Caenorhabditis elegans: one gene and its partners. The protein of the gene in region 1 purifies or fractionates together with the protein of each later gene. This does not show direct contact. Each region holds a gene or a part of one and is shown in the gene's direction. Other genes may lie near its edges. The genes, in order: tli-1, acp-6 and F26A3.1.

Region 1 (4,331 bases):
GTTTCGTTGACCACCGACATCAAGACATAAACTTTGTGACGTTAAAAGTGCAGACAAAACTGCAAAAAAAGGGGAAAAAAGATAAGGAATTCAATAAGAGAAATTAGATTTTTAGAAAAAAAAGATGAAGGAAATTGGTATTTTGAGAAGTTCCATTAAACTTTGACGGAAGTTTTAATTTAAAACTTCAGAATAAATGTTTCGTAGGCTAATCAAGCAATAACGAAGATATTAAGATTTTTGGAACAAAAACCATTTTTTTCTTATATAAAACCTATAAAGCTTTCTTAAATGTTCTCTGCCCACAGAATGGACGTCTTCAGTTCTTTTCCCCGAAAAAGTTGGTCGGGTCCTCTGGGGAATAAGACTACTGAACGATTGAGAGAGACTGAGAGACGTAGAGAAAGTGTACGAACACGTAGAGTACGTAGAGAAATAAACAAAGAATTGAGATGGACGATAAGAGAGTGTGTAGTAGAGTAGAGACGTAGGCATCGTCCTTGTGGAAAAGGGTACGAGAGTGTCTGGTAGAGTGGGGAAACAGTTAGAGACGGAGAGAAATAGAGTATGTTTACTGCCATTCTAGTTGTCATGACGATTTGGTTTTGAGATATTTTTTAATGATACTTTGGAATAATTTTATGATGGTAGAACTTTTGATTGTTGTTTTTCATGCTCCAATTTTGGCATGACATCATCTTTTTTTGAAATTTCACAATATTTAGTTCAAATCACATGTTCATGTTCATCACAAATATTTTTATTGTAATTTTAAAGTTTATATTATAAATACCAATTTTTATTTCCGAATTTTGTGTTAGCTGTGCAAGTCATGTTGGTTTTTTTGCTCTTCAAGAATATTCCATTTCTCACATTTAAAGTTCATCGATTTTTGGTCAGAGGAAAATCTCCCCTAGTTTTTTTTCTGAAAAAAAGGTTTTATATTTTTGATATTATATTTTTGTGACATTTTTGAGAACTTAAAAAATCAAAATTTATTTCCAGTTTCTGAATTTTTAAGTAACAATCACAGATATTCATTTTGTTTATTGTAAGCAAAAAATGATTAATTACTTATTTTGAAATTTTAGTTCAAAAAAGCATTTTCTTCTGCCAGTATTTCCAAAATTGGCCAAATCGAGCAGCCGAATTGTTAAAATGAAAAACCTAAAAAATTTTGAAAAACTAGACCCTCATTGGCAGTTTAAAGATATTTCAGATTTCTCCCTCGACTTGCTCAACTTAGACGTTTCATATCTTTGTTGTCTTCAGTTTTTTAATTGTGTAATTTTTGAAAAAATAGGAATATATTCTATCTATAATTTATCAGTTGAACACTTCTTGATACACCCAAAGAAAACCGAGATATAATCAGTAAAATAAATGCAGTAAAAGGGTACAGAAGTTTAATTTAAAAAAAGGAAACAGTATATTAATTTCAGCAGTATAGTTCCCTCATTTCATGTTCTCTCACTTTTCTGAATCCAAATATGCCCATTTCCATCTATTTTGTTGTTGTTGACCAGTCCCTTCTTATCGATTTTCCTCTTCTTTTTCTCTCGTTCTCTCCAGCTCCCAGACACATTCTCAGTCTCTAAAATGACAATTTTCATTAAATTTTTAGTTTTTTTGTCCTGCAAATTCTTTTCCTCCTTCTTTGTTCAGTCTGATGTCTATCAGTACCTGTTTCTGCTGAGTCATTCAACAAACATTGCCAAGTCATTTCAGAAACCAAAACAAATACTGATCTTCCGTGAGAAACAATGAATACTGAGACTGTTGCTGAACGTCGTAGACAGGTTAGGGAAACAAGGGAAAAATATATATTCAAATTGTTTGTGAACATCTTAGCTGACCATTTTTGGAAAATAATGTTTAGAGAACCTATAAAAACTAATATAAAATCAGGAAAAAAAACTATAAAATATAGTTGATTGTCAATTATATTTCTATGAAGACTTATAAAATTTGCAAGAGTGTAAAATTCCCTACTATATTTTTCAGAGCTTGCTCAAAACTGTTTTTTTTCTCTCAATATCAAATTTTACAGGTGCTCGTTGGAGAGCTTCCACCTCACTTCCTTCGTCTGGCAGTCCCAATTCAACAAACTGCTGAGCCAGAAATCGTTCAGCCTCGTATGGTGAGCTTTGTGCCACCAAATACACGTGGACGGCTCTCAGTGACAATTCTCGAAGCGAATCTTGTCAAAAACTATGGTCTTGTTCGAATGGATCCCTATTGCAGGTAAGATTTTTTTTTGAAAATTAAATTTTTTAAATCAAGAATTTTATCTGAGAACTATTTTGTCATAGCCAAGAGCGTCGTCAAAAAATTTAGATTTTTTACAGAAAATGAAACATTTGAAATTGAAATTCAAAAATTGTAAAGAAGTTAAAAATACATATGTACGAAAAAAATTGAACATAGATTTACAATCAATTTATTATTTTTATCGTTAATTGTTTTTCATTAGCGAATTGACTTTTTTTTAAAATTCTGTCCGATGTTCAAGCTAGATACTTGTGAAAAAACGAAATATTTTGTAATTTCCAATTTGCAGAGTTCGTGTCGGAAACGTTGAATTCGATACAAACGTGGCAGCTAACGCAGGACGTGCTCCAACCTGGAACCGAACTCTCAATGCCTATCTTCCAATGAATGTTGAGAGTATTTATATTCAAATATTCGATGAAAAAGCATTTGGACCAGATGAGGTTATTGCGTGGGCTCATATCATGCTTCCACTGGCAATTTTCAATGGTGATAACATTGATGAATACTTTCAATTGTCTGGACAACAAGGTGAAGGAAAAGAAGGAATGATTCATTTACACTTCTCGTTTGCTCCAATTGATTTGCCATTGCAACAAGCCGCACCGGCAGAGCCAGCTCCAGCTCCACTGCGTAAGTTGTGGAATTTGTAAAATTCTAATTATGACTTTATTTTTGATATTTTTCAGTCAAAATTTTTGGAAAATTGTCAATTGTTTGAACCACTTACAAAATTGGAAAATTAATATTTTTTAAATCAAAATCTCATTTTTTCAGCAGTTGAAATTACTGAGGAGGACACTAAAGAGATCCAGGAAATGTTCCCAATTGTCGATAAAGAAGTAATCAAGTGTATTCTTGAAGAGAGAAGAGGTAAAATATTAGAGATTTTTATTCGTTTTCGGACAATATTGCTCATTTTGTATGTTGTTCGGAGGCAAAAACTCAATTAAAATGTTTGAAAAATTTCAAGTTACTGGTAGAAAATTTCCAGAATGCTGTTGACTTTAATTTTTTTGCCTGAGTAAAATTTATATATTCCTGAATCAGGAATCCTGATAATGTTTTACAAAAATCTGGCAAACTGTTTTCCAGTTTTATAAGAAAAATAAGAAATATTTACTTACAGTTTTCTGTCAGAAACTTAGCTGTCAATTCAAGACCAATTTAATATACATTGTTAAAATATTTCAGGTGACAAGGAAGCCGCAGTCAGCGCAATTCTGGAGATGACAGCAGCAGCCGAGAGCTCCTAAATTTTGCATTTTTCATGAAAATCAAAAAAATCCTAGTCTACCCACCTTCTCCACTGAATCTCCCATCTCATTTAAAGTTGTGAATCAAAAAAAAGTCAATTGGAATCTATTTATTGTAATCAAAATTGATGTATGATTGTGTATGTATAAAATAAAAATATGGAAAACGAATATATTCATACAATTAATTTAACAAAATAAAACGAGCAAAACTATTCTTACACTTTCTTGGTTAGCTTTAGAAGCTTACATTTCACATGTCCTGGATTTTATCAAAAAATTGTCATCTCATCATCTCCAGCCGTACAAAAGCGTGGTTTTCCACGAAACTTTCAGTTTTCTTTCAATTAAAATATCTGCCAATTAAACGAATAACTCATTGCCAACCCCGTCGATTCAGAAAACAACTCTACAAAGTGATAATTTTCAGAATAAATGTCTCAAAATTAAGTTTGAAAGCGAAGGTAACAGTGAAAGAGTTTACAAAAAATAAACGCAAAGAACATTACACAATTGACGCATATGTTTCTGGTAGCCCTTATGTATTCGTCAATAAAAAAATTGGGAAAAGATGGAAGTTCAAAGTTCATTCTGATGCACACAACAAAACCATTTCGGAAACTACTCTTGATTATGCACTTCAAGAAAAGATTAGGAGTATCTATGCTGAATATCCTGTGAATGAATGTATGTCAATTACTGAGTACGTAATGGATGTTCTTAACTGTCAATTGAACTATTTTCAAATTACTATGAATAATTTCGATTTCGGATTTCAAAATCAACAAATTATTAGCTGGTTGG
Region 2 (3,871 bases), on another chromosome or scaffold:
TTGTCAGTCGTTTCTAAACAACAGCCCTTCCCAATTTTAATACAATTATCCAATAATAAGTGTTTTTCATTAGCCCCTTTGTAATTTTAACCAAATTTTCTACAGTTTTCTACAGTAGTAATTCTTCCAATTAGCTTTTGGTGTAGCCCTTCCAGAAGGCACCAAAGATCCGAAAATTATGTTAGAGCCCTACGAACTCGCGAATGCCTCAATTAGCACAATGGAGCCATCGCGATAGGAACCCGGGAGGCATATATACTAGACAAATCCTACCGTATTCTCTGCAAACTTTACTTCAGCCTTCTGCTCATGAAGTCTCAAAAATTCTGTCTAATTGAAATTCAAATTGCCACGGCGCAATTCACGGTCATTTGAACTCACCTTGAACTCTCGCAGATTCTCGGAGAAAAACCGGAACTAAAGTTTTCTCGCGATCTTTGTGGTTTTGTGAAACAGAGAAAAAAAGAGTAATTGGTGTATTCAATTGGAAGAAATTGAATTGAAGATGAGATGGTGAAACATGGAGTTTTTGAGTTCAAATAAACAATTGATCTTCTTCATGTTTGTCTGTTTTCTATGTGTTTTGTGTATTTCATCTTTTTCTTTCATTCATTTAAAATTGTCTCATTTTCAATTCATTTCTCCCTTCCATGACAATTTCGAGGCCAAATTGAATTGAAGTTTGGTCGTACCTAACAGAGTATAAAAGAATGGCACAAAATGTTGAGAACGTACATCCAAACATCCTTTCTGTTTGTGATCTATATTTTTATCATGATATTTTGGTATTGTCACGTCTGGTCTCTTGTCACGGCCTTGAGAAATCCTTTAATGACAAGATCGTACTAGGTAGCATGTGATTTAGATTTACAGTACTCAAGTATTGCTATCCTAGGTACATAGATAGAAAAGTTAAAAGAATTATTTTTTGTAACTTGAAAAAAGGTAATTTTAAGATAAAGTTAGCATCTAGTGCTCGATCGGTTTCAGGATAGAAGTAAAATTTTGAAATTTTCTGTTAGTAACAGTTTCCAAAATGTGCCATGGATGCATGTTAAAGTAATTATTTTACAGCTTGAATTTAAAAATAGTGACTGATTTGTAGGCCCACTTCTATCGCGCCTGCCTTGTGCCTTTCAGTTGAACCTGACGAATACCAAAGTTGTACGGCAAGGGTTCGCAGATCATTGAGCACGCGGGAAGGTACGAGGCCGGCGCAGGCTTCTGAACTAACGTGATATTTCATTTGAGATTTTTTTAATAAAATTATTAGTTCCGTGTTTAATGGTTTCTCTATTAGACCAACAACTAACGGTTTTTTGTTCATTCTGTTTCAATGAAACGGTAACAAAACACCTGAAGATACTTTTTATTTCAAATCGGGTCATATCTTCTTTTAATTCAATTTTATTGAATTGTGTTCTGTCGTGTTATCTTATCAGTTTGTTATCGTTTCAAACAAAACAAAAACAGTATATAAACGCCGGGTAAGATGGAAGTTCACTGGCAATTCAGTGTTCTTGTGTAATTAACTGATTACCAGAATTTTAAATTTGTCTAGAAAAGCTCTCAGAATATGTATTTTTCAACCTGAATCTATCATTCTACAATCTCCTACCTTTTAGTCTAAACAGTAAATGCCTTCTTGCGGACCTGCAACGTTTGTGGAATAGGCATGTAGGTAGTCTAGTCATGAGAAGCTTTATCAGTTTTCATACTTCTTGGTTTGCTCTCATTAAAAAGTGATATGTTTCTTCAACTTTACCGTTGTATTTTACGCCACCTCAGACAAAGAAATTATATTTTCAGGTATGAACCTTCTACTATTTTCTGCCTTGATCTTGGCTACTTCAGCCGCCCATCTTCTCCCAAAGAAGTCTGTTGCAATTGATAAGAACTCGGTTCTTGTGCTGTTCGGAACTCGTCACGGAAACCGTCATCCAGAAGTTTTTCTCCAAGAGAATCCAAGAAGCTGGGGACATGAGGGAAATACTGAATTGACTTCAGTAAGTATTAATTATTGGAGTTTCTAAATGAAATCTAGTAATATTTCAGTTCGGAAAGCGTCAAGGACTTGGATTGGGAAAGGAATTGAGAAGCTTTATTGGAAATTTGATCTCTCGTAACTACAACTCATCTCAAGTTAAATATTACTCCAGTTCTGCCAACAGATGCCAAATGACTCTTCAGGTATGTGGCGAATTCCGAATTCAAAGTAAAATAATCAAAATTTATCTAACTATAAGTTGCCACATTGAAACAGTAAATTTTTAGACTGTCACTGCTGCTCTCCACGATCCAGAACAATGGGGGGATTGGGATAAGAAATGGTACGATCATTGGTCTCCAGTCCCATATGCCATTGATGATCCACTTCTTAGAATGTACGCTGTTAAGGAATGCAAAGGAAATGATAAGGGTACGGTTGTACTTGTATAATGTGAACATATAAATCCTGATTTTACAGTCTGGGGCCCAATCGACAAGGATTCCCTTCCATTCCTCAAGAAGCTCAAGACAAGCAACGCAGCTGAGCTCAAATACTTCTCTGACAACACCAAATGGAACATGGAGAATCTGGGAAAAGCTGCTGATTTGGCCGATAATCTCATTGAAATTGATCTCTACAAGGCTGAATATCCATCATGGATTAAGGCTCCAAAGTTGAAAGGATACACTTTCGAGAAGCTGAAGGCTAAGATTCTGGAATTTGCTGAAGTTCATCAGAACGCTTGTGCAGAGTACGGACCATGCGGAAACTTGATGGCTGGATATTGGCTTCAGAATTTGATTGATAAGGTTGCTGATGCTAACGCTGGAAAGGGACCACAAGTTATTGGATACGCTTCTGTAAGTTATTTACAACCTGTCAATATTAATGTGAAACCTCTATTTCCTGTGAAAAAATTATACAAATTTCAAATTCCAGCACACCGAAATCACTCTTTCCGTCATGAAATTGATGGGATACGTGAAGGATGAACTGACCACCTCCGCTGGATTCGTAGTTGAATTTAAACGTCTTCCAAAACCAGCTGTCCGTCTTCTCAACCATGATCCTAACCCAATCGATGATCATGTCATCTATCCAGCTGAACTTACTCCAAAACTTAAGAAATTGGCTGACAAGGATGGATTCATTCCATTGGAACAATTCTTCGCCTATGCAAAACAATTCGTAAGTTGGAAAAATAGGTTAGATTATTGTAACAAATTAACATTTTCAGTCCTTCTCCGATTGGAAGTCTCAATGCGACAAGGCTTAGATTCTTTGCATGAATTTATAATAATCGTTTGATTCGCTTCGTATGTACTAATGTAGTTACTTTTTAATAAATAATTCGAAAGTAATCAATGAAAATTGCAAAATAACGGAGAATGGGTTACTGTGCTCATTAAAGGGGTATACCTCGATTTGGAACTATTTTTGCGATGAAAATCGTTTTTTTTTCTATTTAAAAGATACGTGAAGCTCCATGGAGAACAAAAAAAACTCCAGACTGGAAACCGAAGTGTTTGGATATCGTCCACTTGATACACTGCAACTTTTTCCTCACGAGGGACGAGGAAAAGTGGTTTCTAGGCCATGGCCGAGTCCCCGACAAATTTCAGCGGCCATTTATCTTGCTTTGTTTTCTGTGTGTTTTCTTTCGTTTTCACCGATTTTTTTCCGTTTTTTCTTATCAAAACTAATAAATAAATATTTTTTGCAGATGCTAAAACAATTTCCAAGTGAAAAAATTGTGAGTTCAGTCGGCAAGTAGCGGTAAAAGTGGTCAATGTAATATGATGGATTACGGGAATAAAAAACCCAAACTTTTTCCCAAACATGATACATATGCTGTTTAGATGCTAAAAGTACCTGATTTTC
Region 3 (3,961 bases), 2.9 Mb from region 1:
CACAACAGATGGCATCTCTTTGCTATCAAAAAGTTATGAATGGTGAATTTTAATCTCGTATTTTTGTTGAAATATGCCATAGACTCTGTTAATGTTTTTTCTTCACTTACATTTTCAAACCTTGTACTATTTTTTCTGTTTTATTTATTTTTAATTCCTTCTACCATTTGTATTTGTGTGTAAACTGACCAATTCCATCATCAAATGATTGATTAATAATTTTAAAATATTTTCTCCGTGGTATAAAACATTTATTTATTTTAGATTTTCGTTTCGTAATCGATATTCCCAATGTTATTTCGTTATCCAATATCTGCTAAATGAGGGTTGATAAAATCCAAATTCAAATAACCTCGGGTTTCAGTTAAACAACACGCGCTACGACACTCCGTTCTCTTTTCGAATTTTGTTCGCTGAAGAGTGTGTCTGTTTCTTCGTTCTTTCTTTTAAAATGGTCTTCGATCCAAGAACATTGGATAATCCTAAGGAAATTAGTGCTTACAGAGATCAAAGATACCAGGTAAGCCTTTTGTTTTAACAACTTTTCGGGTTTTTATCGAATAAAAGGTGTTGTTGCACAATACGAATTCAAATTTGTAGTTCTCAATTTCAGGGAACCGTTCGAGACCAGGAGACTGCTCTACGCACATCATGTACACTTTATGTTGGAAATTTATCATATTACACTAAAGAAGACCAAGTCTATGAGCTGTTTGGAAGAGCCGGTGACGTCAGAAGAGTGATCATGGGATTGGATAGATTCAAGAAAACTCCTTGCGGATTCTGCTTTGTCGAGTGAGTTTTTTCCGCGATTTTCATTGCTTCTCTGGACTTTTAACCCGAACAAATAAAATTTAATTAATTTTTATTTTTATTTATTGATTTCCAGATACTACACAAGAGAAGACGCTGAGCTGGCTCTTCAGAACATCTCAAACACTCGTATGGATGATCGTGTAATTCGTGCTGATTGGGATGCTGGATTCATTGAAGGACGTCAATATGGAAGAGGAAAACACGGTGGACAAGTTCGTGATGAGTATCGAAAGGATTATGATCCAGAAAGAGGAGGCTACAATCGCGCTATTGCTCAAAAAGGTTAGCAGAATAAAAAAAAATGGAAAAATCGTTTTAAGTTGTTTCAAATTGGTTTTTTTATTCGTGTGACTATTAAGAAAAATGAATCTTCTACATTTTTCAGGCGGTGACCGTCAATAATCGTTTCCAAATCCATCCAACACGATCCTCAATCATCATTCTTCAAACAAAAAAAATCACAAAATCTGAAAATTATTACCGTATATTCTCTATTAGTGCTGCATCTCCAGTAGTACTGCAGTCTCTAATAGTGCTGCACTCAAAAAGGGTCCGAAAATTAGTGCTGCAGTCTCTATTAGTGCTGCACCCCATTTTCTACTGAAAGAGTCACTCAATACATAGTTTTGACATTCTGGGGAGTGTTTTGTATATTTTTGAAGATTTCTAGTTAACTTACAAACATAATTGAGTTATTAGGTCATTTTTGTTACAAAATTTCACAATTTTAATGGATTTCTGCTTAAAAGGTGAGCATTTGTGACTAAAAACTAGTGATCTCCAATTGAAAATAGCCGTTCGAAAATTAGTGCTGCAGCCTCCAGTAATACTGCAGTCTCTAATAGTGCTGCACTCAAAAAGGGCCTGGAAATTAGTGCTGCATGCAGCACTAATAGAGAATATACGGTATCTCTGTTTCCATCTTGTTTTAACGTTTTATTTATTTTTCTGTTTGTGTTTTCTTCTCCAAACTTGAGATAAAGCCATCTTCCTCCATCGATTTTTTACAGATGTTTAAAAATAATTATTGAGGCAGGTGAAAATTTCCCAACACAATATCATTCTTTCTAACCGCATTTTTCCAGTTTTTCTTATTTATTTACATATAGATGACCTCAATTCTTCGAAAAGTGGAATGGGTTCGAGTAGCAGGGAAATGGACGAAAATGTCCGTCATGGGGTTGGATATTTCAGACGAAACGCTGAAAATTCAGAAGAAAAAGGAGAACGAGAATCGAGTGATTATTTTAATGATTCCAGGTAAATCGGGAAATTGCGCTTTTAAAAATTTAAGAAAATTTTAATTTCAGGAAATCCCGGAAACGAAGGATTCTACGCTCATTTCGGACGAGAAGTTTTGCAAAATTTGATAAAGAAAGATGAAGATGAGCAGAAAAACTTGAAAAATCAATATTTATTCTACACAGTTTCAAGTCTCAATCATGTTCGAATGCCAGATCATTTGAAAGATGATGGAGAACATCGAAATCATGGTAATAAATACAAATAAAACGAAGAACCGTTCACTCCAGCCTTTTAACTTATTTAGTTTCGCCGATTTCGCAGTATTTTTCGCCCTTTTGTTTTTTTTTCAAATACCTAACGAGACTCATGGATCCGGTGCGGAGCGCGTTTTTACGTCGATTATAATATATTTCCAGACCGAATTTCTCTGGAGGAACAAGTCAATCACAAACTATCATTTGTGAAAGAGCACCTGCCACGTGGAAAGCAACTGTACATTTTGGGGCATAGCATTGGTTCGTATATGATGTTAAGAATCATTCCTGAAGTGATAAAAGAAGGATTCCACGTGGAAAAAGCTGTTGGACTGTTTCCAACGATAGTTCATATGGCAAACTCACCAAATGGGAAACGATTACATGGAACTTTAGCTGTAAATTCAATTTCTTTATTTTAATTTTTAATTGTAAACTTTCAGACATTGAACCATCATGATTGGCTCACAAAAACGATTTGCTGGTGGGTGGATTACCTGCCAAACTCGATCAAAAAATTTCTTGTTGGATTGAACCTGAGACATCCTAATGTAAATTTTTTTTTGAATGTCAAGCAACAAAAAACATAATTTTTCAGACTCCCCCAGAGATCGTCGATGCGGCAGTTGAGCTTGTCCATATGGATGTGTTCAGAAATATAGTTCACATGTCAAACGATGAACTTGATATCGTTTTAGACCTAGATGAGCGTCTTTTGGAAAAACAAGACGTGGTTCATTTCTATTATGGCCTCAAGGATGGATGGTGTCCAGTGCAGCATGGTATTGACCTTGAAAACGTTGTGTAGATTGAAAATAAAATTTATAGGATACTCCATGCGGGACAGACTTGGTGAGGAGCAGGTCACATTGGACGAAGACAATTGTGAACACGCTTTTGTTATTTCTGAAGGAGACATTATGGCGAGAAATGTTATAAAATATTTCGATTGATCAGTTGCTCCGAGTTTTCCGTACTTCAACCTGTGATTGCATTACCTAGAATTTTATCTTTTAATAAATATAAAAATATTTGCACATTTTATTGTTTTTCCTTTTCTATGTGTTTGTTTCTAACACCTGTTAATATTTCTTCAATTGATTAATTGATTTTATTTAAGTATTTAACAGGAGCTCTAGTTATTACTGCCAGGATTAAGTGGTGACGAAACAAACTTTATTGCTCTCTACTGAATTCTAGTCTACTTAGGCTTAGTAAACATTAAAAAACCCCTTTTCAATTCCGAAAGTTCCGTTTTTAAATAAAAAATAAATAAAACGGCGCGAAAGCATGTGCGCTCTAATGCAAATTTGAAATCGAAGAGAGCGAAACAGCAGATTGGCGTGCTCTAGTCGTTTCAGTCATTACCTCGTTCTTTTGTTTCTTTGGAAACTGTTTTATACACGAGTCTTTAAATGTTTAAAAAGATATTTTGTAATTTTCCATTTTTGGGACATATACAGATCATTTGTCGCCCCGGTATTTTCACTATCAGTGGAAATGCAGAGAATAACAAGATATTTTAACAATTCGACATGTGTTATTCTTTTTCTGAATGTCTATCTTTTTGTTAATTCATTTCAATTTTCAAATTTTCAGTAACCCACCCCTCTCATGCCACCGAAGAAGCGAATTCGCGGGCCGAA

The links.
Region 2: the proteins of tli-1 (region 1) and acp-6 fractionate together in Caenorhabditis elegans (co-fractionation; one large-scale study listed by BioGRID). This does not show direct contact.
Region 3: the proteins of tli-1 (region 1) and F26A3.1 fractionate together in Caenorhabditis elegans (co-fractionation; one large-scale study listed by BioGRID). This does not show direct contact.

Annotation. Positions count from the first base shown.
Region 1 is NC_003279.8:10,535,480-10,539,810, reverse strand, and holds tli-1 (CUE domain-containing protein), read left to right. Parts: upstream 1-1,722; 5' UTR 1,723-1,763; coding exon 1,764-1,799; intron 1,800-2,050; coding exon 2,051-2,244; intron 2,245-2,560; coding exon 2,561-2,904; intron 2,905-3,048; coding exon 3,049-3,144; intron 3,145-3,465; coding exon 3,466-3,527; 3' UTR 3,528-3,696; downstream 3,697-4,331.
Region 2 is NC_003282.8:6,424,078-6,427,948, reverse strand, and holds acp-6 (Histidine phosphatase family protein), read left to right. Parts: upstream 1-1,809; 5' UTR 1,810-1,811; coding exon 1,812-2,006; intron 2,007-2,055; coding exon 2,056-2,190; exon of another isoform or gene 2,191-2,260; intron 2,261-2,274; coding exon 2,275-2,419; intron 2,420-2,467; coding exon 2,468-2,850; intron 2,851-2,929; coding exon 2,930-3,178; intron 3,179-3,227; coding exon 3,228-3,266; 3' UTR 3,267-3,349; downstream 3,350-3,871.
Region 3 is NC_003279.8:7,639,732-7,643,692, reverse strand, and holds F26A3.1 (Lipid droplet-associated hydrolase), read left to right. Parts: upstream 1-1,925; coding exon 1,926-2,076; intron 2,077-2,126; coding exon 2,127-2,309; intron 2,310-2,477; coding exon 2,478-2,713; intron 2,714-2,758; coding exon 2,759-2,866; intron 2,867-2,913; coding exon 2,914-3,097; intron 3,098-3,143; coding exon 3,144-3,268; 3' UTR 3,269-3,345; downstream 3,346-3,961. Other genes in the region: rrf-1 (RNA-directed RNA polymerase), read left to right, coding at 1-53; ncbp-2 (Nuclear cap-binding protein subunit 2), read left to right, coding at 452-520, 614-795, 890-1,098, 1,202-1,218; Condensin complex subunit capg-1, read left to right, coding at 3,930-3,961.